Linked DNA regions of Oryzias latipes. The protein of the gene in region 5 purifies or fractionates together with the protein of the main gene of each other region. This does not show direct contact. Links are inferred from orthologs where the notes say so. Each region holds a gene or a part of one and is shown on either strand. Other genes may lie near its edges. The genes, in order: ilf2, chchd2, usp10, ncbp1, ybx1, larp1 and csde1.

Evidence for each region.
Region 1: the proteins of ybx1 (region 5) and ilf2 fractionate together in Homo sapiens (co-fractionation; 4 studies listed by BioGRID and IntAct, with this or other methods). This does not show direct contact. The link is inferred for Oryzias latipes from reciprocal best matches to the Homo sapiens genes YBX1 and ILF2.
Region 2: the proteins of ybx1 (region 5) and chchd2 purify together in Homo sapiens (affinity purification with mass spectrometry; 3 studies listed by BioGRID and IntAct, with this or other methods). This does not show direct contact. The link is inferred for Oryzias latipes from reciprocal best matches to the Homo sapiens genes YBX1 and CHCHD2.
Region 3: the proteins of ybx1 (region 5) and usp10 purify together in Homo sapiens (co-immunoprecipitation; 3 studies listed by BioGRID and IntAct, with this or other methods). This does not show direct contact. The link is inferred for Oryzias latipes from reciprocal best matches to the Homo sapiens genes YBX1 and USP10.
Region 4: the proteins of ybx1 (region 5) and ncbp1 purify together in Homo sapiens (co-immunoprecipitation; 3 studies listed by BioGRID and IntAct, with this or other methods). This does not show direct contact. The link is inferred for Oryzias latipes from reciprocal best matches to the Homo sapiens genes YBX1 and NCBP1.
Region 6: the proteins of ybx1 (region 5) and larp1 purify together in Homo sapiens (co-immunoprecipitation; 3 studies listed by BioGRID and IntAct, with this or other methods). This does not show direct contact. The link is inferred for Oryzias latipes from reciprocal best matches to the Homo sapiens genes YBX1 and LARP1.
Region 7: the proteins of ybx1 (region 5) and csde1 purify together in Homo sapiens (co-immunoprecipitation; 3 studies listed by BioGRID and IntAct, with this or other methods). This does not show direct contact. The link is inferred for Oryzias latipes from reciprocal best matches to the Homo sapiens genes YBX1 and CSDE1.

What each region holds. Positions count from the first base shown.
Region 1 is NC_019869.2:21,697,190-21,701,514, reverse strand, and holds the start of ilf2 (interleukin enhancer-binding factor 2), read left to right. Parts: upstream 1-1,225; 5' UTR 1,226-1,354; coding exon 1,355-1,359; intron 1,360-1,713; coding exon 1,714-1,773; intron 1,774-2,631; coding exon 2,632-2,674; intron 2,675-2,752; coding exon 2,753-2,857; intron 2,858-2,948; coding exon 2,949-3,026; intron 3,027-3,271; coding exon 3,272-3,374; intron 3,375-3,602; coding exon 3,603-3,668; intron 3,669-4,151; coding exon 4,152-4,268; intron 4,269-4,325. UniProt on the Homo sapiens protein: Chromatin-interacting protein that forms a stable heterodimer with interleukin enhancer-binding factor 3/ILF3 and plays a role in several biological processes including transcription, innate immunity or cell growth.
Region 2 is NC_019871.2:16,550,013-16,554,477, forward strand, and holds chchd2 (coiled-coil-helix-coiled-coil-helix domain-containing protein 2), read left to right. Parts: upstream 1-1,462; 5' UTR 1,463-1,609; coding exon 1,610-1,659; intron 1,660-2,365; coding exon 2,366-2,624; intron 2,625-3,103; coding exon 3,104-3,272; intron 3,273-3,585; coding exon 3,586-3,593; 3' UTR 3,594-3,961; downstream 3,962-4,465. UniProt on the Homo sapiens protein: Transcription factor. Binds to the oxygen responsive element of COX4I2 and activates its transcription under hypoxia conditions (4% oxygen), as well as normoxia conditions (20% oxygen).
Region 3 is NC_019861.2:21,048,961-21,052,775, reverse strand, and holds part of usp10 (ubiquitin carboxyl-terminal hydrolase 10), read left to right. Parts: intron 1-2,840; coding exon 2,841-2,909; intron 2,910-3,154; coding exon 3,155-3,200; intron 3,201-3,684; coding exon 3,685-3,744; intron 3,745-3,815. UniProt on the Homo sapiens protein: Hydrolase that can remove conjugated ubiquitin from target proteins such as p53/TP53, RPS2/us5, RPS3/us3, RPS10/eS10, BECN1, SNX3 and CFTR.
Region 4 is NC_019868.2:27,750,726-27,755,110, reverse strand, and holds the start of ncbp1 (nuclear cap-binding protein subunit 1), read right to left. Parts: upstream 2,868-4,385; coding exon 2,834-2,867; intron 1,441-2,833; coding exon 1,352-1,440; intron 1,266-1,351; coding exon 1,165-1,265; intron 1,092-1,164; coding exon 935-1,091; intron 851-934; coding exon 743-850; intron 385-742; coding exon 263-384; intron 172-262; coding exon 102-171; intron 1-101. Other genes in the region: tstd2 (thiosulfate sulfurtransferase/rhodanese-like domain-containing protein 2), read left to right, coding at 3,108-3,383, 4,313-4,385. UniProt on the Homo sapiens protein: Component of the cap-binding complex (CBC), which binds cotranscriptionally to the 5'-cap of pre-mRNAs and is involved in various processes such as pre-mRNA splicing, translation regulation, nonsense-mediated mRNA decay, RNA-mediated gene silencing (RNAi) by microRNAs (miRNAs) and mRNA export.
Region 5 is NC_019865.2:7,798,054-7,802,636, forward strand, and holds the start of ybx1 (nuclease-sensitive element-binding protein 1), read left to right. Parts: upstream 1-1,649; 5' UTR 1,650-1,785; coding exon 1,786-1,897; intron 1,898-3,439; coding exon 3,440-3,503; intron 3,504-3,729; coding exon 3,730-3,763; intron 3,764-3,852; coding exon 3,853-3,942; intron 3,943-4,011; coding exon 4,012-4,293; intron 4,294-4,583. UniProt on the Homo sapiens protein: DNA- and RNA-binding protein involved in various processes, such as translational repression, RNA stabilization, mRNA splicing, DNA repair and transcription regulation.
Region 6 is NC_019872.2:3,472,637-3,476,451, reverse strand, and holds part of larp1 (la-related protein 1), read right to left. Parts: intron 3,756-3,815; coding exon 3,581-3,755; intron 3,505-3,580; coding exon 3,344-3,504; intron 3,176-3,343; coding exon 3,077-3,175; intron 2,706-3,076; coding exon 2,379-2,705; intron 1,806-2,378; coding exon 1,682-1,805; intron 815-1,681; coding exon 618-814; intron 530-617; coding exon 423-529; intron 1-422. UniProt on the Homo sapiens protein: RNA-binding protein that regulates the translation of specific target mRNA species downstream of the mTORC1 complex, in function of growth signals and nutrient availability.
Region 7 is NC_019865.2:1,564,327-1,568,141, forward strand, and holds part of csde1 (cold shock domain-containing protein E1), read right to left. Parts: intron 2,867-3,815; coding exon 2,754-2,866; intron 2,674-2,753; coding exon 2,554-2,673; intron 2,466-2,553; coding exon 2,287-2,465; intron 2,209-2,286; coding exon 2,045-2,208; intron 1,961-2,044; coding exon 1,828-1,960; intron 1,099-1,827; coding exon 1,051-1,098; 3' UTR 1-1,050. UniProt on the Homo sapiens protein: RNA-binding protein involved in translationally coupled mRNA turnover.

The DNA.
Region 1 (4,325 bases), on a different chromosome or scaffold from region 5:
TGTTCATTTTATTTCATTTTAAGTAGGGGTGTAACAATTAAACGACTCGATGAATTAATTTTTATTCGTACGATCCAACCAGATTGATCTATCTGAGGCAAGTTGTTTATCGAATCAAATCAATCTATACTATAAAGTCATTTAAAAATGAAAGAAATTGATTATTAATATTTGAAAATCACATTTTGATTGGTTAGTTTGTGTTACTATATTGTAAAAATGACCAAGTGCAATCACAGCGGACAACACACATGATGTCAGCAAAAAATGATCCAGCATTGTTTCTACACCCCTCTTCAAGAATATTGGTGATACAAATATTGTGTGGACCTGTCTGTGTGCGAAAGTCTTGTGGGATAAATCTTCCATCATGAATGTAGGAATATACTTCCAATCTGTAAATAGATGTGCAGAGAATTTGTTGATGTGTGAACTAAGTCATGCAATTTACTTATGACACTCGTATGTTTTGACCTTGTATTATCTAACCCCTCATCCCCTGTCTCCAACATCCCACTCTATTTCTTTCTTTCTTTCTTGTTTTCTTCCGTCTGATTCAACATAGATCGCATACAAAAATAATTATCATAAATAATGCTTATAGCCTCAAATACAAAAAAGGGGTTTTATACAAATCTACACTCTGTTTGTTGTTTGTCTGAAGATCCATAAACCCCTATTGTAACAGTAAAATCTGTCCAACAAGAGATCTTCAGTTCTGATCTGCTAGCTCAGCTGTTGGTCAAGTTAAAATAAAAAAAGATCAGTCCGTCAATATGATCCAATGTGTGGAAACAAAACACAGACATGTGACCAAACAGTGTGCTAGAATGTTCTAATAATGTTCTGTTTGTATTATTTTGATGTGATTTTGATGAAAACTTCCCCTGCACTGTTCAGTATTTATGTCTTAAGCCACACTGGTTGAAGGTTTGCCCAAAGATGTCCTGGATCAACTTTAGGTTAGTCAGTTAATCAGATCAAATTGGATCATTCAAAATGAACCAATATCGAAAGTGAATCGGATCAGCAACCACAAAATATGTGAATCGTTGTTATAGTGAAATGTCACATCGCTTATTTTAGGGCAAATTAAAAAATATTGTACTGTTGTAAATGTTGCATTTTTATATTATATTCTGAAAATGTTCAATAAAAAAGCTATATAAATAAAAGAGGTTGCACTTTTAACTCCTGGTCTGTAGGGGCAGCAGTGTGCTGTGAGCCTTTCCTCACCGGAAGTTTCACTAGCGCTGCCCCAGTCTATGTCCGGTTCTGCGCCTTCATTGCAGCAGCTGCAAATCTTAATTCTTCTCGTTTGTTTTATATTTTCGGAATCAAAACGTCTTACACGATGAGGTAAGCATATATTTATTCATTTTATTGGCGTCGGTGGTTGAACACGCTGCTCTTGTTGTTGTATTTTGATTTGTGTCCAGCCTGTAGCCGCGTTAGCATAATAACCTGTAAGTTAAGCAGCGTTTCCCTCATGTGTTTCAACTCTTTTTTTTTTTAGTTTAGGAGCCAATTCTGTGAATAAATTCACGCGTTTTCGTACACAGTTTTGTTTTTAGGCTATTTATATACTTATTTGTGTGAATTAATGTCAATAATCATTCTTCGTGCAGACCACTAGCTCCCATCAGATTATGTGTGTATGTCACTATGTGGCCTAATCATTTTTGTTTTATCATCTGTTCCCTTTCTGTGCAGAGGAGACCGCGGAAGAGGCCGGGGAGGGCGCTTCGGAGCCCGCGGAGGCCTGGTCCAGGGGTTAGTGTCTGTTTCCCAAACATTTTCAGAAAACAAAGTCTGATCGGTTCGTGTTGGCAAGCTTTTCTGCCCCCTACATTTTCCTTTCAACAACCCTCTGAGCCAGCTTGCTGATTACTTATATGTCTCTAGTCTGTCAGAAACTGGACACCTAATTCTTGAGGATCAGAATCAAGATGAACGGGGCTAGCTGGAGTAGAGGACCATGATGCTAGGATTGTTGTAACCTAAGAACACTCAGGATAAAAAAAAATCTAATATTCTAAATAGATTGATGACTAAAGATGCCCCCCCCCCCCCGACCTGTAACTTTGAAAAACCAACAGCAGTGTTGCCCATGTTACGAAAGTATTGCCTAAAGTATTAAATCACTTATTCAAATAATTAAATTGTGGCATTCCAGTCATTTCCATGGCCACAGACGCATAAAATGAGTTCTTCTGCAAACATCTTAAGGGATGTTGCCATCCCAGGAGATCAGTGAATTCCAGTTGTCAGAAGCTGTTCTCACCCCTTCCAGTTCAAGTGAAAGGAAGTCTGAATGCTGTAGGACACCAAGAGATTTAAAAATTTAGAAATGTTGCTTCCTGGTAGCACCATGACTGTGCACCACTGCTAGAAGCAGGCCCATAAAGACATGGATGAAGATGATGTGGAGTACAAATGGATTATAACTTATGATCATGCGTGTAAAGTCAAATGAGTGGCTACTTTTGCCATATAGCATGTGTCTGATGTAACAGTGAGAAGGTTTGAGCTTAAAGTGAGTAGTTAAAATCTCCACTTTATGCACTTTAAATCTTGGGATATAAATGTTTACATATGAACGTATGCTTAATTTAATCATTTTTTATGCAGGTACCGCCCGTTTGTCCCACACATCCCGTTTGACTTCTACGTGGTGAGAACAAGTGAACATAGCTGGAATATCGATGCAGAATAAGTGTGAGTCTTGACTTTCACTCCTTTCTTCCACCAGTGCGAGATGGCCTTCCCCAGAGTGAAGCCTGCTTCTGATGAGACGACCTTCAGCGAGTGTCTCCTGAAGAGAAACCAGGACCTGAGCCCCACGCCAGCAGAGCAGGTCTGACTCGGACTCGCCCAGGAACTTTCATCATCATCATCATATGTGCTTCTAACACATTTTGTTCCCTTTTTTTTTTTTTTTATAATAGTCCTCTATCTTGTCGTTGGTCACAAAGATCAACAACGTCATTGACAACCTTATTGTTGCTCCTGGAAACTTTGAAGTGGTGAGTTGCTCCACTAAAGAACCTTTGGTCCCATTTGAAGAACCTTTGGTCCACAGACTAAAGCAGCTTCAATGAACATGTAGATACATTTTTAACAATGAGGTGAAATATGAGGGATACTGCCGGTACATTTTTATTTTAGGCAAAACCAGACTGATTGAAGTATCTTTAATTCAATCACAGCCTTCTGTCACAATCCATGACCCACAACAATGAATAATTGTTTTTTTTGTGCCTCTTGACAGCAAATTGAAGAAGTCCGTCAGGTGGGTTCCTATAAGAAGGGAACCATGACTACTGGGCACAATGTTGCAGACCTTGTAGTCATCCTGAAGATCCTCCCAACATGTAGGTCATGAGTTTCTCATCCGGATGTTGTCAGATTCTTTTGTCTGATCGACTGTATGAGAATGGTTCATATATGTTGTTGATGCATCAAACATCCCAGTGCATCAGCACCGAATCTGAATTTCTCCTTAAATATTTTTTTTCAAACTTGAATGATGTTTTTTAGTCACATTTAATGGTTGTGAAAAATTGTGTCTTTATGTCCAAATATAATTTTGTTCTTTTTAGTGGAGGCTGTTGCTGCTCTTGGCAACAAGGTTGTGGAAACTCTCCGCACCCAGGACCCTACTGAAGGTAAATCACAGAGATCTCCTTCAATGAGTTAAAGCATCAACGTGATTTACAAGTTTACCCTAAAAATTGCTTCTGAAAATTTATTAAAGCTATTGTAAGATTTGCAGGAACTTTTTTTAAAGCATAAAAAATAATTTAAGTCCTACATCAATCATCTTTTGATCTATTGTAAAATCGTTCCCAGTGGTCTTTTAATTATGGTTATAGAATTTTTAGCCAAAATTCTAAAAACCTGCTGTTTTCTAGGACATTTTCTGCAGAGCGGCAATAGTTCATCTGAAACTCGCCTCTAACTTGTGGGTGGGGCGCGGAAGTAAACCTCCGCTTATTTCCTATCGTCACTTTTGTCCACACGCTATCCTGCTAGCTTACAGATGCTCAATACCCCAACCCTGTGCTGATTTGTGTTGTTCTTTTCTGTTAACTGTGTTTAACTGTGGGTGACTAAAACTGTTGTTTTTCTGCGTGTGCTCCTCCTATCAGTTCTGTCCATGCTGACCAATGAAACCGGATTTGAAATAAGCTCGGCTGATGCTACAGTTAAGATTCTCATCACCACCGTTCCACCCAACCTGCGCAAACTGGATCCAGAGTTACATCGTAAGAGAGCGCACACCCGCACAGCACTTTTATAGGAATGAGGCAGGCTTGTGAAAT
Region 2 (4,465 bases), on a different chromosome or scaffold from region 5:
CACACATGTTCCTGTATATTATTCCAGCCACTTGATTGTGGCGCTCCATGTATGCTTTACCTGCCAGCATCTTACACCCTGCAGTTATGTGCTGGATTGTTTCAGGCGCCTCTTTGCACAGCCTACACCTTGGCTGTATATGTGGGTGTGTGGATAGATAGATATAGTCATGTGCTCAGTGAATGTCTCAGACAATGGAGAGCTGAGGATGCAGTGCTGGAGGACAGATCCTCATGGGAGGACAAACCCCTGCATGGGATGTACCACCGGACCATAACTGAAGTGGCGGATATCAAGAAGTCTTACTAATGGCTAGAAAGGGCTGGCCTACAGGACAGCACTGAAGCACTCATCTTAGCAGCTCAGGAACAAGCCCTGAGCACCAGAGCGATAGAGGCTCAGATCTACCACACCAGACAAGACCCAAGGTGTAGGCTGTGCAAAGAAGCGCCTGAAACAATCCAGCACATAACTGCAAGGTGTAAGATGCTGGCAGGTAAAGCATACATGGAGCGACACAACCAAGTGGCTGGAATAATATTCAGGAACATGTGTGCAGAATATGGACTGGAAACCCCAAAGTCAAAATGGGAAACACCTCTGAAGGTGGTAGAGAATGAAAGGGCAAAGATCCTGTAGGACTTCCAGATCCAGACTGATAGGATGGTAATGGCGAACCAACCAGACATTGTAGTGGTGGATAAAGAACAGAGGAAAGCTGTTGTGGTGGATGTGGCAGTGCCAAGTGATGGGAACATCAGGAAGAAGGAACATGAGAAACTGGAGAAATACCAGGGACTCAAAAGAACTGGAAAAAGCCTGGAAAGTGAAGGTGACAATGGTGCCTGTGGTAATTGGAGCACTCGGGGCAGTAATACCTGGAAAGACCTCAGACCTCTCAGTCCAGAAAAGCGCAGTGCTAGGAACAGCTAAGATACTGCGCAGGACCCTCAAGCTCCCATATAGATAGATAGATAGATAGATAGATAGATAGATAGATAGATAGATAGATAGATAGATAGATAGATAGATAGATAGATAGATAGATAGATAGATAGATAGATAGATAGATAGATAGATAGATAGATAGATAGATAGATAGATAAAAACAATGTGTAGAGAATAAATTTACCTAACATAAAAAAGAAATACGGTAAAAATAAACGAAATAAGAAATAGGGAAAAAAAATAACTTTAATTACTACAGTCTTGGAAAGCGTTTTAAAAAAATTGTTTTTTAAAAGTAGACTATTTAACAAACGTTATTATACATGCGAAGCATCAGAAGAGCAAAGACGGGGATAGTAAAACAAATACAAAAAAATAAAATAAAAAGACAGTAGGCGAGGAATTAAATTGTTATTACAGAGCACATTTGAGCGAATGACAACACAATGAAAATAGGGGAAAGTTCAGTGTATCGTCTCAAAATAAAGTTACACAAGCGTTTCAGCTGCACCGGAAGTTAGCCGGCAGACAGATGATGTAACACATAGAAAGTTCCGGATGAACCAAAGGTCGACATAAAACTCGCAAGCGACGTTGCGGCTCCAGATTATCGCGTCAGTTTTTCATCAAACGCACAGCTGTCCAACCTTAATATTTAGGTATGCCAAGAGGAAGCAGAAGCCGGACATCTAGGATGCCCGCCCCGGCCAGGTAACGATTTCTATTTAATAACTGGGATGAAAGGTGGTTAGATAGTGTGCTGCGTGGGATAGCGCAGGCTAAAATGTGCTAATAGTGTTTCAGTGTCAAATGTCTGTGGGAGCCTGCCAACAGAGTTGAGGATTATTTTAACACATTTAGTATCCTAAAATGCCCAAATCTGGAGATAAAAACGTCTATTTATGTTCAGACAGGATTGTTGAGGCAGGCCAAGAGTTTCTGACAAATGTAGTAAAGGTCAAAGTGTCAAACCTATGTATTTTAAAATTCAATTTTATAGAATGGTATAACAATACGTCATTAATGTTCATCTAAACTCATTGAAAGGTTGAGATGCTTTGCATTCATCCAAAAAATGAACTTTAATAATGTTCACAGTGTGAAAGTATCTCTATAATATAACACGTTTTAGTGACAGTTTACTACAAAACTTGGGAAGATTTTTCTTACGTAATTGGCTTCTTTAACCTTCAGTTACATAACTGTCCTGACAAAACCTCATCATGACCTCCAAAACCCACAACATCAACTCTGACACACAATTTTAGTGAGAAATGATCTCTCATTAGACCTAAGCGTAGACCTGAACAAGAGTGATCATGTCAACAACAATAACTCAAAAAATATTACTGTCCTGTAATTTTTAGGTACGGAACATGCCAACTTTGATATTTAAACTAAGGTTTACGCTTTACAGCCGGGCGCCACCATCCCCACCACCCATGGCCAGAGCAGCACCTCCTCCTTCCCACGCCCCTGTCCCAATGCAGGCTCCTCCATCCGCTGTGGGAGCACCGGCTGCTGCACCCAGGCAGCCGGGTATGTTTGCGCAGATGGCTACTACAGCAGCTGGGGTGGCAGTGGGCTCCGCGGTGGGACACACTATTGGCCACGCGTTGACTGGTGGGTTCGGTGGAGGACAGTCAGAACCAGCCAAGCCCGACATCACGTACCAGGTAAAAGGAAGAGCATCTGCCAAAGGACCAGAATAGTATCGGTAAAGATTAGGTTGTCTAACTCCTGGCAATGCCAGCCGTTCAGAGCTCAGCTCTAACAGGAAAAAAGGCAGTCAAATTTACAATTAAAATGTTGCTAAATCAGTTGGAATTTTAATTCATAAAATACAGTTTTGATCTGATTACATTGATTATTTACATGGTGTTATTGTCAAATTGAGACTAACTAAAGCCAAAGTATATATAACTTGGTTTTTTCTTTTTAGGTTTCATCATTTTATCATGTCAAAGATAAACTGAGCCTTTAAAGTAAACATTTTCTTTACATTAGCTCATAAAATACTTCTATATTTAATAGAAGCTGTTGTTGTATTTTTAACTGAATTTCATTTTAAAACATGTTTTACTCTAACTTGTTTTGAAAACAAATGCCCCTTTTTTCAAAATTATTGTCTCTAATCTTTCATTCTGTTTGTCAGGAGCAACATCAGCAGCAGCCACAGTCTTTCTACCAGCAAGAACAGCAGCAGCAGCAGCAGGTTTGCTCCTATGAGCTCAAACAGTTCATTGAGTGTGCACAGAACCAGAGCGACCTGAAGCTCTGTGAGGGATTCGGTGAAGTACTGAAACAATGCAGGTTTGCAAACGGTAAGCAAATGTGGAAATACATTTTGTAATAAATAAAAAAAAAGTAGATATGTACTAAGGGGTTGTTATATTTTTCATCCTCCTGTGTGTTCGATGTTTTGTAGTCTGGTTTTTCCTTTTTTATTTTTATTTTATGTAAGCTAAGCATGGGAAGACTTTCTGTTTTTTCAAAGATTTATTAGGTCCAAATTCTTTGTTGGAATTTGTCAGGGGTGATGGGAGTTGTAGTTTAAACCCGTTTTACTTATGTGATGCTGCACATTTAAAATGATAAAAATAAATGCATCTTAATGAAGTGTTTTCTTCTCCACAGGACTATGATGAGGTGAAGACAAAGCGCTGCAGAGAAGAGGAAGTCACAAATGTTATCAAAGTTTTAGCAGGGTATAATTATTAAGGGATCAATCAACAAAACAAGCTCATTATTTAACATTTGAGTTTCAAGCATCATTTGTGAAGACCGCTGCAGAGCTTAGAAAAATGTTTATATACTTTAGTGTTGTCATTTCCTCAGTTTGTAATTATGATGGGAGCTTGTGTTTCATTAGCATCCATGCTTTTAGTTTCTTCTCTGATACTTCAGACTCTGCAACATGAACCTGTAAGAACAAAAAGTTTGCATTTTCTGGATGAGCATTGCTCAAGGTTTGATTGTACCAGTAAAAAAATAAAGTTAAATCTAAACCTGATTTATTTCCTTGCCTCTTCAATCACACGTTGTGTTTCTTATTTTGGCCTGCTAGTTCTTTAAATAGAAACTAGGAGCTGTTACAACTCAGCGGTCCAGCAACTGTTGTGTCACTCCAGAACGGTGCACGTGCAGTAACCTGTCTCTGAATGCTAAAGGTGAGAAAAGGGACCGTCTTCTCACAGCATGGATCCCAGTTTTTGTTATGTTGATTCGCCTAGGCTGCCTGAGAAGCAGCCGTGTATTTTTGGCGTGTGACATTAAAGCTCGTCTTATACGACGTGGAAGCGGCCACCCCACACACGCGTGCAGCAGCAGTCGGAGCGGACCGGACTGGTTTTAATCTCTGCAGAGCGATCACACTAAGGATGAAAAGGATTTTTTAACACGGACAAGAACGGTGAGTGTTTTCAGGTGTTGCTTCGCTGGAAATGGAAAAAAAATGGCAGTGAATGACCCCTTACATGAGTGTGATTCCGTTTTAGTGCACGGACATTTATAGATT
Region 3 (3,815 bases), on a different chromosome or scaffold from region 5:
TATATTTTCATTTATATGGATATAGATTATTCTGAAAGGTTTAAAAGTATGATATAGGCCTTTAAAAAAATAGTATGTTTGTGTGCTGGAAAACAGCAGGTGTTTTTAAAAAATTGTGAACTAAATATACTTTATTTTCTTTCTCTCTCTCTCTTTTTTTTTACCTAGTGGGAAATATCAAATTCACTTGTTTGGAAGTGTTTGGATGTTAACAAACTCAGATTTTAGTTGCTTAGAGAAAGTGTGTGGCTACCAGATCAGGCAATATCATATAGATTTGTATGTCTGGGAGTATTCCCTTTTATTCTCTACCCAACTTCAGGTAAATTAGTGTTTGGACTAGCAGCAGCTTGTGTAGGATTAACAAAGAAATGTAAACCCAGTCACTTAAAACACTCCAACAGTCTACTTTAACCGGGTCACAAAGTTATTTTTTTAAATTTTTTAAAAACTTTAAGTTCAATCTGTCACAAAGGTGATCATTTTACCCTTTGTCCAGGACCTGGTGATAGTAACTGAGAGCAAGTGTGGCAAAGTGCACATTATTGCAAGACACCTATTGGAGTGGCAAATAACTTTTTAAAACAGCTTTACACTGGGATAAGAAAGACGTTTCTGCAGTCTGTACTTAGTCTGGGTTATTCATAGAAAGTTGTTCTCACAAAACTGAGCAAATATGAAAGAAAGGCTTACTAGTTAAACCTGGTTGTTCCAGGTGCTGTTTCTGTTAGACTTAATGATCACTTTCAAGATTAGATCAAATGGTCTGTAGCATTCTTTTGAATTACTTCTGAAGATATTTTTCCTTAAGTAATTTTGCACTTAATAATTTTTTATTACCAACTTTAATGTAATTTTTGTGTCGTACCAAATGCTTTTTTTTACTAGTATGTTAATTGGTGGGCAAAATGTCTAACAATATAGCTATCAGATATGATAGTTATATCATATATGATGTATATGTGAATTTTTTGCTCATACTGCCAGTATTTTATTCCATTTCCAGCTTTAGTCATTTACTTTTTGGTTAGAGAACACAATTTTTGATTAGCCTCAGATAAAGATGGGTCTCCTTGTTGAAGGTGAAGGAAAAAATATACATATGCAAACAATAAAAGAAGGAAACAAACACAACAGAAAAAGTTAACACAGTGGAGAGTTAAAATTCCCAACTAAGAGATGAAATTGCTCAAAACAGCACTTTGCCCATTTAAAGTCCGCTTACTCACTAAACTTAAAATAACTTGCTGTGTCCTGAAGCGTGGCTAGTGATCTGTATTTATACCAGGTATAAATGGCATAAACATAATTGAGACCACTGGGAACAATTTTAAAATAGAACTAAAGACGATTGAAGGGAGACTTTAAACTGAGAATTGAGGCATCCTTAATACTTAGAGGTTAACATCCGTTTGTCGATTTCAGCTTGTTTTCTGCTTTTTCATCATGTTTCCAAATTTTCAAACCCAAAATCAACTAAGATAAAGACATAGGTCAGATTAAGCTTGTACAACTAATGTATCCATTTTACTCTACTGTTAAATGTATTTGCACTTGCATGTATGTTTGTTTCTAAATAACACGGAAATCATACAGATGGCTAATCTGTTTTAACCCACAGTCCAAACTAACAGTGTAGAAAGCTTAGAGAGGTACGCGTGGCATGCCTACAGAAGAAACCAAGGGACATTCTTTCTGTTGAGCCATCCTGAGGCCGTTGGATTATAGCCGGCCGTTTGTTGATTGTAGTGCCATTTCAGCAATGCATGCCCGAGTGTGGGGCCTCATCTGCAAAGAGTAACATGCTTGGGCTGCACTTTCTTTTCTATGCCTTTCTTTTCACGTTCTACTGTTTATTGCACTGAGAGGATTAACAACACAGCTAGTGAGTTCTTTTTTCATTTTCTCATGCGCTTCCCCCCCATGCACTCATGTTGACACTTCAGTGGCATTGAGCCTAAGTTATGTGGGACATCTGTTAAGAATAATACAACTGATATATTGACAGTTGTTAACTCATCATAATTTTAGCTCTTTTTACAATTACTGCATATGTGTTTGATGCCTCATGTTTTGGCTTTTGCTCATCAAGGACAAACAAAATCACAAGAGATCCTAAAAGTTAAAAGGATTGATTACCTGAAAATGTGATACATTTTTTAGAACTCTGAGGTGCCAACACTAAAAATAGAACAACTTAATTTTACAGTTTACAAATGGTGAAATATTAGTACTCATGAATTTCAGATAGCCTTATTTAAAACTTGATAAGAATTCAAGATGAGACCCTTTTTGCTGTATCCTTGGAACTGATGTTGCAAGAAATCCTTTAGACCCAGATAGAATTGCGCTGTTTAGCATTCACTACCATAGTCCTTCCTGTATGCATTAAAAACACCCATCTCAAATGTTTAATCAGTCACACACCCTGTGAGAGAGAGGAAAAGGAAAGATTTCTTAAACAATCTGCAATGTCTGTATTTAGGGCTATAAGGCAAAAAATACTACTTCTGTCTTGTACCTCTAGTACAGAATCAATTAGTTTTAATTGGAATTTCAGGAATTTTTCAAAAACTAGTAAATAACTATTGATGTGCTTAATTTTCTTTTTAGAAATTTCTCTTTAACATGTTGAAAACTTTTTTTTGCCAACTAAAACCTTTGTTCAGTCCCTTTAATTGGTCGCTCTACCATCTAATATACGGAAAATGCTCATACAATTTTAAAATGACAATTTTTAATGCCGTTTTCCAATCATTTGTCGTTTTATTGAGTTAGGAATATGTGTTTGACACTACTTTTTTTCTTTGACTAATTAATTTCATTTTTCCTTTCTTTAGTACATCTTTGGAGAGTTCAGTCCTGATGAGATCAATCAATTTTTCGTGACTCCTCGATGTTATGTTGAGGTAAGTACAATGACTGACAGTGGCATTCTCGTTGCTTTTGTTGATAAAAAGAAAAAGGCACTCTGGAAGCAACAGGTTTTACAATTAATTTAATTCAGATGAATTGTTTTAGTAATTCTACTTTAAAGCTTTCTCTCTTTGTAACTGTCTTTAATCTCACAAGAAAAAATAAATCATGAAAGCTTTAAAAACAAAACACCTGGTAAAATGTGTCTTAACTTGCTCTAATTTATTAATTTTTACAGCTTCCTCCATTCAATGACAAGCTTCCATGTATCAGTCAGTCTTCTGGTATGTAAATCTTTATTATTGTTTCAACAGTATTTTAGATTGTGGGTGTTAGCCCACCATCAGCCCTAGACAATTGCTTCAAATTACCCAATGATGTCTCAACTGCTGTTCCATTTTACAGCAAATCTTACAAATGCAAGAGCTTAGGTTTTGTTTCCATTTGTTGCTTGATAAATACCTGATGGAAATATACTTCTTTTTGCACAATTTACAAGTTTTTGTTGAATGCTATATATTGTTTAAAATATATCGCAAATGTAAAAAACATATTTTTAGAATAAAAAAAATAGCTCTTTTGTCCTTCTTGTTCAGCCACCATCTTAATCTGGTAGACTAGACCAGAGAAGCCTTTAAGATTTGTGACCATTCCAGGAAATATATCTATTCATATTGGGTTAACAAATGTCTTAACAGCCACCTGTGTTTTAGTGGAATTGATTTTCAGATAACATTTGCCTTTCCTTGATTTGTATTGATTATTTAGGAAGTTACTGCACTCCTGCTGTACCTTATATAATGGAGTCAATGGGACTGCAGGTTTGCGGTGAGTTCAGGGGTCTGACACCTTGTGGCTTGACTAGCTGATGTACATTGTCTTTACAACTAAAAATCCAA
Region 4 (4,385 bases), on a different chromosome or scaffold from region 5:
TTAAAATTCTTCAAAGCAATCTGGATTTTTTTCCCCCTTCGATCCTTCTAATGCATCTTTTTAGACTTGCGTTTCAAAACCTGCTTGTCCAAAAGGCTCACCTCTTCCTGTGGATGTGGTTTCTCAGCGGTCCACACCTGCAGCATGGGGACGTGAGTCTTCACCCTCCTCCTGTCCAGGAACACAGCAGAGCGCTGGAGTCAGTCCAACAACAGCTTCAATGGAAAGCAAAAGATGCTCCAGAAAAGAGGCCGCGTCTCACTTGAGGTAGCCTTCGATCTGGCTCAGGAGTCGGTCCATCTCCACGTCCTTCTTCTCATAAAGTTCCTTGCCGACCCACGGCAGGCAGGACAGAACCACGTACACGAACCAGTCCAACCGAACCTGGAGCCAAAAGGGTCTCACGCTTACTGATCTTCATCTTCAAGTCAAATTGAGAAGCTGAAAAATCGTTTTTGTATAAATCTAAAACTATTTTTACACAGAAAACAATCATTTTTATTTTTGATTGGACTGCAGTTCTCCCAAAACCAAGTCATGGAATTTTGAGTCGTCATTGAGAACATCAGATGATACAAAAATAAAGGAGTTTGCTGAATTTGAAATGGGGAAACTCAGACGTTGCAGTAAAACAAAAGGAGGCGCCTTAAATGTGACATTAAGTAAAAAAAGAACGGGATGTTCATAAACTGAAACTTCTGATGCAAACAAATATTCCAGGTGAGGCCGTGCAGAAACAAACCTGTGGCACATCTTCTTCCTGAGTAACACTGATGAAGTTTTCAAACATGGCTACCATGGAAGGGGCAGCGATCACGTGACAGTTGACCAAGTCTGACAGAAAGCGCACCTGAAGAGAGCAGAGAACTTAAACGATGCCGAGAGCAAAAGGCGCTGCAGCAGCTGCGAGTTTAGACATTGAACATCAACAGACCAAGTAAACGGCTTCGTTGTAGAAGTTGTTTTTCAGCGTCTCCTTCAGCTGCCGGATCATGGCCTCCACAAACTCTCCCCCAAAGTTGTAGTTCCTGGCGTTCAGGAGGCCGACTAACGTCGTGTAGACTGTCAGCTTCTCCGGCAGGAGGCGGGCTCTGTCGAAAGACGCGTTTGTGAAAACGGACCGTTTGTTACGCTTGAGAATGAGGAGAACTGCGGACAACTTACACTGCACATAAAATACGCAGGATTTTGTTTTTGTAGTTTGGAAGGTCCGCCTCCAAAACCCCTGCGAGCCCCTCCAGGTTGCTCTCGAGGGACGATGTACTCTTTTAAAAGATCAAAGACGGACTTTAGTTATTGCAAATTATTTAAATAGTAAATATATGGCTTTATGACAAAACGGCCATCGTACTTTTTCTCCAACGCGACATATCAGCGACTCCAGGCGGTCTTCAATCTCAATAGGCTCTGATGTTCTCCTCCTTTTGTGGGCTTGACCTCCTAAAAATGAAAAGGACAGAACTTAAACCTCTGACCTGAGAGGACACTGAAGACAGAAAAACAAATCTACGTTTTGGGGGGAAAATAGTGTATTCGTCTCATAAAATCTAGTGTTTCGACAGTCACACATACTCCATCTGACTTTACTGGAGGTTTCCTCCTATATACTTTAGGTAAACAGAAGAAAAATGGAGAATATTGTGTCTAGGGCTAAAGACAAACAGTTGGACGTCAGCCTGCCGGAGAGCCTCAGAGACCGTAGAGATTTTTCAGAAGAAGCACAAAACCCATCTTTTTAACATCGCTTTGAGATAATTTCATCTGGTTAAAATAAAGATCTGATGTCTAAGCAGGACTTGGCCAAACTTGTTTATGTGTTAAGTCGATCTTTAGTCGACTTGACTACTGTTCCAGTGTTTTTGCTGGACGATACGGCAGCGTATTCAGAACTCTGCTGCTCGGGTCCTTCAAAGGAGCCAAATATTAGACCACATCAGTCCAGTTCTGACCTGTCCGGTAATCTGGATCTGCTCTTTCGTCAGTACCTAGAGTCGAAATCAAACACGAAGAAGCTGCATTCAGCTTCTATGCTCTGTAGATCTGGAACAGACTACCAGAATTAAGCCTTGGATCAGCTGAAACACTCAGTTTATTTAAATGCAGGTTGGTATTTACTTCAGTTCTTTAAATTTTTATTTTGGTGATAACTCCTTTAATATTTCTGTTAAATTTTTCTTTTAGTGTTTTATGTAAAGGACCTTGAATTGCCTTTGTACATAAAATGTGCTTAAGAAATAAACTTGCCTTGCTGATTCTCTCCTTACTGAAATCTCTGAATGAAAGGTAAACACTCAATGGAAGCCAATAGAAGTCATTTATACATACAATGACAAATACATACTAAACTAATCCTACATTATATAAAAATATTGTTAGGTCTGATATTTTTTTAGTGTGGAACCGTGAGACACTTTGGTTGTGAATGTTCCTTTATAAATCACAAAATCCACAGGGCTGTAACATCACGTTTCCATGCGCATGATGATGAACCCACAGAAAAAGTGTCTCTTTCAACACTTACGCCAGTCTTTACAAACATTAAATGTGTTTTGTGTGCCAGAAACCGTTATAAAACATAAATCTGGCCGTTAGCGTTAGCTAAAGTAGCTAACTAACGGAACCGGGTTTTTCTGGTAAAACTTAATCTCTTAAAAATCATTTTTTAAAATCCCCTAATTTATTTAGTAGCTTTAAAAAAATACTTGATATTGGGGCAACGCCTGCTATCGTTGCATTCCTTTAAAGTTATAGCACATACAGATAATCAAGGTAGCTGTAGCTAGCTGCCGCGTTAGCCGTAACGTTTGAATCGCACATGCAGCGCGCGACTTGCCGTCACTGTCGTCGCTGTGTCTCCTCCTGGACATGTTGTCCCCCCTGAGCTGCACGCGTGCAGACACCCGGTGTAAAAAAAATAACGCGGGACAGACCGGTGGATCCGGGAAAAGCTTTGCTTATTTTGAACGGCAGAGTCCGGAGGCGGCAGCAGCAGCAACAGCAGCTTCTTACAGAGAAATAACAGCGGAGCGATTGAAATGATGGACATCCGGGTCATTCAAGGTACAACCGGAAGCTGAACTTCCACTTCCGGTGAGCTGCACACTCGCATGGAAATACAAGGGTATTTACCGCGTTTGAGAACTTATATCTCTCTTTTTGTCAGTATTTACGCGTTCTATCACAAAGTTGCGTTTTTTACGATCACAAACATATTTGTCGTGCATTTAATTTGCCAGTTGAGGAGAATGGCAGCCAGTGAAGCAGTCTGCTCAGAGTTTCTGAACTGGGAGGTCAACACGTCGATGGTTGATCATGGATCAATTAAGCAAAACAAACACATTTCTGCTGCTCACAGAAAATATTACAGGTTCTGCAGGAGAAAGGTAGGAGAATATCTGGCTTCTCTTTCCACAAAGACAACGCAGAATGATTGAAAACAGAATAAAAAATGACTAAACTAATCTAAACTAAATATTGATTCTGACCCAATTCTGGGCAGTTTGCATCTTTTATATATTAGTAATATTATTACTACTAGGTAGTAATATTATTACTACCTAAGGTATTCAAGACATGAAAGTTAGAGAATATCTTTGGTATTTGTTTTTGTTTTTCTGTGTATCAAATCTAATCAATCTTTATTTATGTAAAATTTATATAATTCTAGAACATGATAACACAAAGTGCTTTACACCAAAACAAACAACATAAAAAAGGCACAACAATTTAGAAATAGATCCTGTAGTTAAAAACATATTTGACCATTTTACAGTTGAAAACTCACCTTTCACCAGGCGTTCATTAAATGATTACTTTATATTTAGTGAGGCACATTTACCTTCTGTCCTGGGACAACAAATAGAGGGGGGGGGGCTTTTGGCCAACTGGTAAATTTGCAGAGAGGCTTTTTTTTAGTGTTTGATGTCACAAACAAACAAATACATAAAAAAAAATTTGTTGCTTCTTTTAAATTGTCACTTTAGACATATAAAATTCTTCCCTGTTTTTGTCATAAACAGATTATTACCGTTTACCGGACCAAATAGATGTAAATCAATGCTTAAATCATTTATAGATATGTAATATATTTCAGGCTTGATCAGAGTATTGACAGGCCAAAATTTGGCTCATTACGTAAATATTGACGTGAACCTCAATGATGATGATGATGATGATGATGATTCAAGACATCACATTTAGAAACTCCTTTAGTCGGTCCAACTTTTTTGGAAACCATATATTTCTGGAAGTATTTGAAACAGAATACATTTGCTTGATTGAGGTAAATGCTTTGATTCTTTTTCCTTTTCAGTCTTTTGCCTCGTTTGTGGCTTCAAAGATCTGCAGTGCAGAGGCCGGCGCCTCCTGGTGCTGCTGCGGCCAGA
Region 5 (4,583 bases):
GTGTCTGTCCTGAGACAGAAGTCAAGAGTTCAAATCATAACAAAGTCTCCAAAAAAGGGACACAACATTTGACACTCAGCATTAAGAGGTTGGATTGGGGGGTTCAGCAATCAATGGTGGCCGTGTGTGCAGCTCATTGCTCCCCCAGGTGATGGGTCACATGCAGTGAAGCAGTACAATACCAGGTTATAACAACTAAAAAAATATGTGAAAGGAATACACACCCTACATACAAAACGTCCGATCTGAAAAAAATCTCTTTTTTTCAAGAAACACGGAGATTGTTTCAAATATTCCAGTCAGTGCTGGAATATTTTCTATATTTCTATTTAATATTTCTCAAAAAAGGGCAGGATTGTCTTGAAAGTTCACTTTAAATATGGAGTTATTCTTGTTCTCACCATTTAAGGCAGGCATGTCCAAAGTCTGGCCGGTCCAAGGTGGGTTCAGAAACCTGTCAAAGGTTTCTTTCTAGATCTCTACAAAGTCTGGCCAAATGCAGCCCTCCTGAAAGCCTCTTCTAGCCTGCTGGTACCTTTTATAAAAATAAATGTGCTCCCAGGAAACTGTGTATGATTTCTTGATTATGATTGCCTACTTTATAAACCATTTTAAACCTATGGCAACACTATGATGTGACCCTTTTGCAATACCTTTTAGCTCATTTCTAAAATGTCGACTGTAAATTTAACAAATGTTGACAATTGGGGGTCGCTGCTTTCAGGACAAGTAGAAATTTGTGTATTTTTTTCAGTAAGATACTAAACATGCAAGAGGCTGGATGTTTTCAAGAAATTCAATATCAAGAGGGACTACAAGACAAGACATCCCAACTATGCCAAGCTAACTAGGAAAGAATGGTGCATGGTTTTCACATGTGAAATTCACTGTCATTTTGTTAAAGATTTATTAAGCTCTTCTTTTGTTCTATGTGTAGAAAATACAATTAATATGCAATAAGCATTTCCCTTAAACAGTTCATGTGCATTTAATGTTATAAGGGTTCAAAGAATGCAGGTTGAATGGTTGGTCCTCACAAATGTTCACCTCACAAAATCTAATTCTCTTTGCAAAAAGTCAAATCTAAAAATTTGCAGATTGGATCTTTTGTATTTTGGTTATCAAGTTTGGTTTTTGATGTTTAATCATCACTATTTACAGGTAACAACCATTCATTTTAAAAGTAAAAATAAAAAAGCAATATTGTGGATGTTTTTTTAAATTTACAATATATTCTGATTCTTTTGTGGGAGTCAAACTTTTTGAAATTTTACATAAATTGTTAGCCTCCAGCAATATTTAAAAGTAGGCTAATATTTCCTAATAATGCCATAAAAATGTTGTTTAACTACGGTTTTAAAAGGGGTTTACGTGGATCAACACTAGCTTTATGCGTCTTTTTTTTTAGTTTTATGCATCTGACACATGATTACAATGGGGCGGTGAAAACTGACAGGTACGGTACCTTTAACCAACCGTTCGTGAAAACGCGTCGCTTCAACTAGACTGACAGTAGTCTAGCCAATCAGAGGACGCCTTTTTTCTGTGACGCATTCAGTCAATAATTCCAGCCAGTGAAAAGCTCGAATGGGCGGGGCCACAACCAAGAACATTCCCCAACACAACTACTGATTCTGCCCAGTTCGATCGGCAACGGGAGCGGAAAGAGGAAAGCTGAGAGCCCGAAGGCAGTAGCCCCCACCACCGCCGGCCCACGTTACCATCTAGCACCGGGAAAAATAGCAGAGAGCCGCCGCCGGCAGAAGCCATTACCAACCAGTAACTATGAGCAGCGAGGCCGAGACACAACAACAACCACCGCAGCCTGCTGCCGATGATGCGGAAAGCCCATCCAGCCCGGCAGCTGCAGCTTCCGCGGGGGATAAGAAGGTCATCGGTAAGACTGCCGACTCCACTTAGCTAACTAGATGCTAAACGTGGTTTATGTTGCTGTAAACGAGACAGAAACAGCCGTTGAATTATGTTAATGTAAAATGACCGTTACGATCAACTTTATTAAGTAGTTGGACGTTAAACCGTACGTCGAATTGTGATACCAACTGTCAATATAATTATACATTTTAAAAACTGTCAGTTGGGAACGGTTATTCATTAATAGCGTATCATTCTCATTAACTATGAGATGTCACAAGTTTAGGAAAAATCCACATCTTAGAAATGTAGTAAATAACCACTTAATCCATGATTTTCTGTCTTGGTGGGAAAACATTTGCGAAAAAGAGACGCATGCATCCAAACGGCCGTCACATGGATGATCGTAGGAGTAATTTATGTCAGATCCAGCATGTTTACTACCAGACGTTGCAGACCTTTATCTCTCACCGTTAACCGCCAAAAGTACGAACAAAACCCGAAAAAATGACGAATAAATGTTTTAAACTTGGAAATACCCTGCGTTAGTTCACACTAACAAGTTCACCGGCAACTGACGCTAGCTGCTTACTATCCCTTTGTTCGCACAAGTGTCGAATCCCTGTATTCTCTGTCAAAGCTTAAAGGTGGTTGTTTTCAAGTTTATTTTGTAACTATTAGATATATTCAATAATAAACGCTTTGGGATTTGTATTCAAACCGTCCTAAGCTTTAACTCGATTTTTTTTTTACATTTTCGGTGAGGCCTAATTATTTCACGATAGCTTTCCAGTTGCTAACGATGCTAATGTTAGCCTAGCCAGCTAGCTGGCTGGCTATTTACATGGCTGAAAAGGCCACCCAAAATGTCCGCCGTTACACGATCCGTTTATACGTTACAGTTCTATTCTAGCTCGGTTTAGGTACTAAAAGCGCTTGCTTAAGTAGTTTCGAAGTAACATCTGTAAGATGTTGATGGGTTTATTACGTTGGTTTCCGCTTTTTGGCTATACTCCAACCACATGGTTGTAACTCTTAGCTACACGGCTAAGCTAAGAAGCCAACTCGGCTTGTTTTTCGGTCTGTCCGTGTGCGACCCTACCACGTGTGAACGCTCACGTCGTGAACTGGGCGTCTTAAAATGGGGCAGTAGGTCTTTAATGTCCGAGTTCTCTAAATGCAGTTGCTAAACGCGAGGTTACTTGTTTTGAAGTTTGACGTGTCGTAAGCTCTGTTCCCCGTGTTATCCGCATTCCTTCCACACATTTGCAGTCAATGTAATTGGACTGTTTTCTACCATGGCCGGAGCTTCACACCGGGAGCAGCTGGCGCCAGGCTCTCCTAAGCATCAGCATCTATAATAAGCACGACAGTTGGAAGTTATTTTTAACGTCCACACTATGGCTAGTTTTTTCCTGCACATATCTTATTATGTGCGATGCTTTGACTGTTCCCAATCTATTATCATATTTTCAAAATTTCATTACTGCTATTCTAAAATTACCTTTGCAGCTTAGAGAAGTAATATTGACACTTGATAACTGAGTTGCTCTGTTTTTCATTGCAGCAACAAAAGTCTTGGGTACAGTCAAGTGGTTCAACGTCAGGAATGGATATGGTTTCATCAATAGGTAAATGACCACCTCCAGCGTTCCCAATCCTATTATGATTATTGCTTTGCTAACGTGGCTGACCTGATTATTTTTTCTAGTGGTCTGCATGCACACTGTAACCTGCAAGACTTCATTAATCCTTGCACTTGTTGGCTTAGTTGCAATCTGTCTTCAGAGGTGTGTTGTCTTAGTAAGTCATGTGTGGTATAACTGAATCTTTTTATTTTTTTCTCTTTTTGTTCAGGAATGACACAAAAGAGGATGTTTTTGTACACCAGGTGACCTATTATTTTCCAAACCTTTTGGAAACTTAAAACATTTTTTTTTTATTTCGACTAATTCACTTTTCAATTGTTGATGATTTCAGACAGCCATAAAGAAGAACAACCCAAGGAAGTATCTTCGCAGTGTTGGGGACGGAGAGACTGTGGAGTTTGATGTAGTTGAGGGAGAGAAGGTAATGTTTTGGGAAGAATTTGGTTATGTTTGCAGGCATGTTGTCAATTTTAAACTTATCTGTTAACAGGGTGCAGAGGCAGCAAATGTCACTGGCCCTGGAGGGGTGGCTGTCCAGGGAAGCAAATACGCTGCTGACAGGAACCGCTACAGGCGTTACCCACGCAGAAGGGGGCCCCCTCGTGGAGGAGAATACCCAGAGAACTACCCAAGTGATGGAGAAGGCGAGCCTGGCAACGGAGTGCGTGACAAAGGAAACAGAGACGGGGGAGAAAGCGCCCCTGAGGGAGAATCGCAGCCACAGCAGCGCAGACCCACTTACCCCAGCAGACGACGCTACCCACCATACTTTGTACGTAGACATTATGGTCGTGGACCCCCGTACACCAATGCACCACGCGGAGAAATGACTGTGGTACGCGGTCACCAGGCTGCTATCCAGAAGTAGGCAACCAGTTGTACCATGACAGTCGAGACACTTGCTCTTCTCCCAACATGCTCCTTGGTAAAGCTCACGTGGTTGTGGTCAAAGTTTGGTGTATCGGGGGTCACGCTATTGTCCGATGGACTTAAATTGGCCGTCTCTTCTTAAAAAAGTGTTCGTGTTGCTTCAATATTTCTGTGCTATACTGAATAATCTGT
Region 6 (3,815 bases), on a different chromosome or scaffold from region 5:
TGCTCAACCACTGAGATGAGAGGTGGACTCTTCATCCAGAATGACGAAACACCAAGCTTCCCATGATGCATTTCTTCAACGATCCATTTCCTTCTACAGAGCTTTGGTCCGTTTTCAACACAACATTCTACACAAAAACCACCACATGTTGAGTGTCCTGACCAAGTCATGTGACTGGAATAACCAGGAATAGAATCCTTTGTGAACACACCGTTCCCTCATTTAGTCTGTTTTAAGGCTGTAGAAGCCGCCGCTACACGCTTGACGGGCTCTTCTCAGACAGAAAAACGTTTTCACAATTTTCTCTCTTGTTTAAACCTTTATAGAAAAATAAGTCCAGCATAATTGAACGAAAAAAAAGATCTGCTGGTGGATAGAAAGACTCAGCAGTCCCATACCATGATGCTTCCTCTGCAACTCACCTGACAGAGGCGGTGCGGGACCGGTGCTCTCTGGAGTCCATCACCCAGCCCACGTGGCACTCCATGGGGGGGTTGGAGCTGTGCCTGGTCTTCCTCTTCCTGGGAGTCTGGAAGAGGAAGACTCTGAAGCGTGAGTGAAGGAGTTCCCCTCGGGAAACCTCCTCACATCAACCCCACCTGCCCCCGCCGTCTCACCTTGGCGTCGACAGGCCGGCTCTCCTTCACCACCGGGTAGAAGCGAGGCGTCATGGTGGGGTCCTTACGATGCGGCGTGCGAGGAGTCCGCGGCGTCCGGTAGTTTGGCGAGTCAGGCACGGTTGTGGGTAGCGAGCGGGCCATTGAGGAGGGTTCAGGGGCGCCGAAAAGTTTGTTTGCCAAAGCATCTGTGGGGACTGAAACACGACGAGACGCTAAAGAAGTGAGCTTTAAACTGCAGAGAGAAGAACGACACGCCGCCGATGAGGAGGAGCACTCTGATAAATGTGACCCCATTTCAAAAACTACTCTTTAATCATTTTGAAAGCTGAAGTAGAGTAAATGACAGCTTTAATTTTTGTTCCTGGGAATCAGAAAGTGAAACTATGAACTTTATTTGTGTCATTTAAGCGTTTATGTCAATGAATGACTGAAAAACAAGAGGCTGCACACCGTCAAAGTCCCACTCCAGTCATGATTTGATCTATTTTCAAAGCGTTCCCAGTGGTTTTATAATTATGATTAACCTGTTTTTAGCCAAAATTAAATACGCAAAGACGTTTTCTAGGACATAGTTTCTGCAGAGCAACAGATTCAAGCGGAGACGAGAAAAAACAAAGACTTACATTGGTTTACAAGTGGAAGCATCAGAATTTAAGCTTCAGGGAGAACACTTCCTTACCCATAAAGACATAACATTTAGATTAAATAAAGACATTAACATTTGTCCTCCATCATCGGAAAGATGCCATCAGAACATGTTAAAACTACAAAAACATGATTAGTTTTGAGTTCGACTTGAATCTGTTTTTAGAAAATGCAATATTTACATAATAATATATTAACAAAGTTAGTAGTTTCAGGTTTCTGTGTCGAAATCTTGTCACTTTTTTTTGATTTTTTTCTAACTGCTTTGCACCTCAATCTGTTTTTAAAAAAAGATTAAAAACCTAAATTTCTCCTAAATAAAAAAAAAAGGAGAAACTATTGTCCTGGTCAAAACAGATTTTAGTTTAAAGCTTTTAGTAAAACATAATCTGCTGATTTTGTCTGGGTTTGCTTACTCTGCTGGGGGCGCGGGGGTCCGGGGGGGACTTCCTGGTTGGGGTCGACGGGGGGTTCTGGGGTCAGGCAGTCGAACTGCTCCCGGCTGATCAGGTGGACCTTCTTGAAGTTCTCCACCTCTTGCTGGAAGCAAAGAAAAGACAGAAACCCGCAGCGTGAGTAGAGGGAGCGGAGGAAGCGACCGGCAGCGGCGGAAGGGGAATCTCCGTCGGCGGACCTCATCCGCAGAAGTTTGGAGACAGACAGGCAGCAGCAGAACATGGCGGCCTTAAAGAAGCGTTTCACCCTCATATCGCCACAAACAGCAGCTCCACACAAACCCGTCTGTCCTGAGAGCAGCAGCTCCACTCACACTCATACTCGGCCTCTCTTTCCAGAGACTCTCCAGGGATCGGTCCGCGGCCATCTTTGCCTCCCCCCTGGCACCCCGCCGTTTGGGGTCTATTTATAAACGAGCGGCGTGTGTTCCACAGGCTGCTGGATGTGTGTTGGCGAGCGCGTGAAGGTCCCACACAGAGCCCAACAATGCAACAATGGGCGGCAGCGGCAACAAAAAAGCGGACAAAAAGGCAGCTTCTGTGCTCTGCTTTGGGTCCGGATCCAGAAAAAGCTGCAACTGAAGGAGAGCCACCGCTGGAAGGCCTCCATGCATGACTCTGCTCTTTTTCCCTTTTCACCACCATAAAGCCGCCTCACCTTGATGGTGGCGTACTCCGGCTCATAGGGGGCGTCCCACAGGTCCTGCTCGTAGTAGAAGAGCCCGTCGTTGATGACCTTGACCAGCTCGTTGGTCAGCTTGGCGCGCGACGTGTGGTGTCCGGTGCGGTCGCCGCCTGGGTGCTTCCGCAGGTAGGGCGGCGTCTGCGTGACGATCAGGATCTTGTTGACGTCCTGGTCATCCAGCTCGCCGTCCGTCTCTTCGTCTGACCAGTCGGTGAAGGTGTTGCGGCGTCCGTCCATCTGCTCCATCTCTTCGTCGAACATGAAGTCCAGCTCCTCTGGTTCGTCCTGCTCGGCTCCGTCCTGACCCCACAAACAAACACGATACTCAGTTACTTTCATTCATCAACAGACTGTCAGGATTTTCAAACTCTTTGTAAACTATTTTAAAAACTGCTAAAAACTGTCTAACTTCAGGATGAAATCCCAGCTTTAAAACTAAACTCTATAATCAGGTAATTCCATCAAGTCACCACCAGGTGGCTTGTTTCACAAATATAGTTTATTCTGTAATAATGTTTTGAAGCCCTATTTTAAATTTGACCTTTAAAAAACACACGTGTCCACGGAGGGGCGTGGCCTGTTGATGGACATGTGACCATTAAACCTACAGCTCTAAACAGAACCAGAACTGGTCCAAAACCCCTGCAGATCCGTGCAGGTGAGCGGCTCACCTTGTTTCCTGAGGTAGTGCGGGACGGCGAGGAGCCGGGCGGGGGAACCGGGGATCGAACCACTTCGTCTTTTTCCTTCTGCTGCTGCACCGAAGGGGCCTGCTTCCATCACAAAAAGAGGAGGGAGAGGAGATGAAGAGGAATGGTGAGAGCAGATTCTGTCAACACCTGACTGGATGGATGGATGTGGTTTGGTTCTGAGATCAATCTGTGGAGCTGTAGCTTTAACTCTGAGCTCCGTGTGAAGACGTGACGTTCTGAGCTGACCTTGGGTCTGGCGGGAGACGGTCGGGGCCTCTTCTTCACCTCGATCCAGGACTCAGAGTCCAGGTCAGGGAGGCTGGCAGAGAGGCCCTTGGGCATGGATTTGAGGTTGGAGGTGTCTGGGTCAGGCTTGGCCCGCACTGGAGAGGATCCTCTGGAGGAGCCTGCAGCAGAAACCCTCAGGTTAACAGCCGTTGAGGCTCTGGTGGAGCAGGTGCAGGAAGGCGGGAATGGACCGACCTCTCGGATCCCCAGTCATCTGCCTCGGGATGAACTCGGGACAGTTGATGAGCTGGGAGAAGTCTGTGTGCGTGTTGTTGGGTAAACTCAGGCCGGGCAGAGGCCACTTCTCTGGGTCCTCCTTCCTGCGGATCTTCAGGTCGATCACCTCCACCTCCTTACTGTCCTTGAGAGCCTGATGACAGACACAGCAATGGTAAGTAAAGACTCGCCAGAAAGAGCTTCTGTTGTCCCT
Region 7 (3,815 bases), about 6.2 Mb from region 5:
TTTATTATATTTGATCTTTTTATTAGAAAGAAAACAAAAAAAAAAAGCACACATTACATACAGTATAGATGAACCCACATTTCTGGGATGCATATAGCAATATTTCTACTGGGGGGGGCCACCTTAAGATTGTTCTGAATATGTTGGTGGTGTGCTAGGAACAGAGGAGACATCTTACTTTTATTTTGATTTTTATTTAACTTTGCTATTAATAGGCACCTTATTTGTAACGTTCAATATAGCAGACTGAGTTTCCGAAAAAAACAAAAAAAAAAAGATGTGCAGAAATGAAAAAGAGTATAAAAGAATCGCAAATATAAGATGCAACGAGGAATTCTGCACCTGAAAGAGAAAAAACCGCTAAGGGACGGGGAGGGGAGGGGGGCACGTCAGCATCAAGTATAGCAACTACTTTGACACCCCCCCCAGACATAACTCCATGCTTTTACTTCAGCTCTTCAGTCAAGCATTTAAAACTGCTCAAAAAAGCGAGCAGAGGAGAGTCCCGGCGTCCCGACGGAGCCGACGCCCATCTACGCATTGTGTAGGAAAGCTCCAGTTTGATCAAATACTTGAGGTTTCCGTGAGTGAAACAGCATGAAGGACATTAATGGAGCGGGGTGGGGGGGTCCACGGACCGATTACAGGTGCAGAATTCCAGACAGAGCCTGGTCGAGAGGTCAAGACACGGAAAGCCAGTCGTCACGCCAATTTGGAAAAAGACAAACTGAAACAAATCCCTCAGCCACACACACTTAACCTCTGGGGAACATGACACACACACACACACACAGACGCACACTCTCAGGAACCCACGGAGGCTGCAGTGGGGTACTACCGATTCAATCATGGGTGGGAGGTAGGGAACGGTGGAGGAGCGAGACGAGTTCCCTCACAGGGATGCATAATGGCCAAACGGACACGCCAACGGCTGCATGTGTGCGCACGTTTGTGGGTTAGCTGATGTGCAAGCATCAAATCAAATTCCAGTTTGTGCTGCTGGAGCCTGCGAGGACAGCGGCCAAGCACAGACGCAGCGGGAGCCTCCGCTCAGTCGATCACCCCCGGCTGGCGGGTTTTGCGTTCCACGCTGAAGCCCTGAGGGAGAAGAGGGAGAAGATGTCAGATCCTGGAGGCTATGTCTGAGCGTCTTTGCACCTTCAAGCTCAACTCTTGGGTCCATCGCTCGACCATAAATACAGACGAGTGCTGGCGTCAAGGTACGGCTAAGCCGGACACGAATTCCTCCTCCCACTGAACATTTGTCCAAAAGTCTGTTCATAGACCTGCCGCTCCTGCCGTGTGTTACCGGTTCAGAACTAAGAATCTTTAAGTACCAATGATCTACTGACCAAGCTGATTTATTTTAAAGAGCGCTACAACAACATCGAAAATCCCGCCTCCATGTTCGGGTTCATGGCATCGTTCAGGGACTCTGCCGGTACGGTGAGCTTCACCGTCTGCGTACCAGACCCGTTCAGCGCTACTTCCACCTCTGTCCCAGTTTGACGAGTCGTCCCGCGTCAGTGGAGGAGGGGAAAAAATAAAAATATATTCAGGAGAACGATCAGATTCTCCTCTGTGTTGTTTTTAGACTCCACCCACTAATCGCATCATCAACGCGTCACAGGCCAAAGCCGAGTTCCTGATTGGTTGATGTGATTTGAATAATTCACCAAAGTTAAGGTATTTGAAATCTGGAAACATGCCCCAAAAACACGCCGTGACTGGAGAATTCCTCCACAGCTGACGCCCAACGTGACGCAGGAAACGAGAAACTGGACGCCTCCGCCGCGCGACGGGAACGCAGCGTCAGAGGTCGCTTACCTTTGAACTGTCCGGACCACGAGGCTGTCTCAGGATGACCAGACGAGGAGCGCTGGCGTCATCAAGAGTGATGCTCTTCAGCCGGTTCACCAGGCGGTCTGGACGCGGCGTCGCCACCGGCTTAGCCCCCTCGCTAAAAAAGAACGGGCGTGAGGAAAGTTGTACAAGACGAGCTGGAAACCCCAGCTGTAACCCCGGTGGTCATTCCCGCCCTCACCTGACTCGGCGCACGTTGCACGCGCTGCACTTTCCCGTGCGTTGGTTCAGAACCACGGAGAACTCCACCTCGTCGCCCGTCTGGAGCTCCAGGCCGTCCAGCACCTCTTTGACGTGGAAGAACAGCTTTTTGCTGTCGCCCACCTCGTACGTAATGAATCCAAACTGCAGGAGGGGAAACGAGCCCACGGCTTAAACCTGCGGCGCCGGCGGCAACGGCTTAGCCAGAGAAATCAAGCATACCTGGTCCTTGACACACTCCACCACAGCCCGGCGCTGGGGAACCACATTACACGCCATCTTCTGGCCAGTTTGGGAAACCGTGCAAACCTGGAACTTTACAAATTCTCCCTTCTGCAAACAGTCTCCCTTGTTTGCCATTCCCATAATTCCAAAGGGGTAAGACGGTCCTTTTCCTCCAGCTGGGCAAAACAAAATAAAAACAAAAAATAATAAAAAGAGTGAAAAGGAGGAAGTTGGAATGACAGAAGCTGCTCTAGCAACACCGACCGTCATCTATGACTTCGATGAGGCCTTGATATTCGGCCTGGGAGGGGTCCACGCTGCGGATGGGACGGATCACTTTTCCTGTCAGAATTGTTGTCCCAACATCCTCGCCCGTCCCGTTCACTAAAAAATAAGAGAGAACTTTCATTGAGTGATCAGAACCTTTTAAATGGATGTTATGAATGAATGAAACCTTCAGGTACCTGCAGCCACTTTGGTGACCTTTTCAGCACTGACTTTGTTTCCTTTTCCCTTTGACAGACTGTACTCCACAGTGTCGCCCAGATCCAGATTATCCAGATCTCCACACATTTCACTGAGGATTAAACACATCTGGGTGTAAAAGATCTTTGCAGGTGGCGTTCACCGATTTAGTCCTACAGAGCAGCGGCCCTCAGCCTTTTCAGGCCACAAGCCAAAGTGGATCTTTAATTTATTATGCGCTTCCGGAAAATCGATTTTTCAAATTATAGCGCTTCTATGTGACACTTTGCTTATAGAGCAAAGTCTGTAGACGTCTTATAGATGATGGAGATTCACTGAAAGTTGTTTCTGATTTGTAAGACTTCATTAAAAAGACAGACAGTTGTTTTAAAGAAAGCTATTTCCACACCAAAAACTTATTTTTCATGGCAAAAATGAATCATTTGTTTTGTTTGATAAATGCTGTTTGATTAAACATTTCTTTTCAAAACAAAGGGAGTATTTTCTGTGCTTAAGTTTCCTCACAAGTGTTAGTCTTTAGTTTTGACAAGTTTCCACAAATCAGCAACTTTATTTTATTTAATCTTCTTTCTCTGTAAAAGATTTGCAGCCAATTTAAACCCAAACTATATGCAAGAACCATTAAAAGGCAATTTAGCTTTCCCCTTAAATGTCTAAGTTGTCACCTTTTAATAAATAAAGGTGACATAAAACATTACATTTTTCTAAATACAATATTCAACAGTGAATGAAACTTATTAGCATACGTGTAACATTAGAGAGTCAGTTGCTGCATTTTATGCGGAGCGTCTCGGTACTCTGAAAAGGGTGTGGCAATAAATCCAAATCAAAAGGAAAAAGATTCTGGTTCTGGTCCGTCAATAGCAGATGTCTTTTCCCTGAAGTCAGAGACTCTTCTTCTGTTTCATTGGTTGCTGTTTTCTCCCCAAAGAAACACGTTTTAATGAACTGTTAGCCTTGTTTTCCAGAATCAGAAACTAAAAATAAAAAAGGGAATAATTGAAGTTACCGTATGAACTTTGACCCGTGGACCGGGAGTT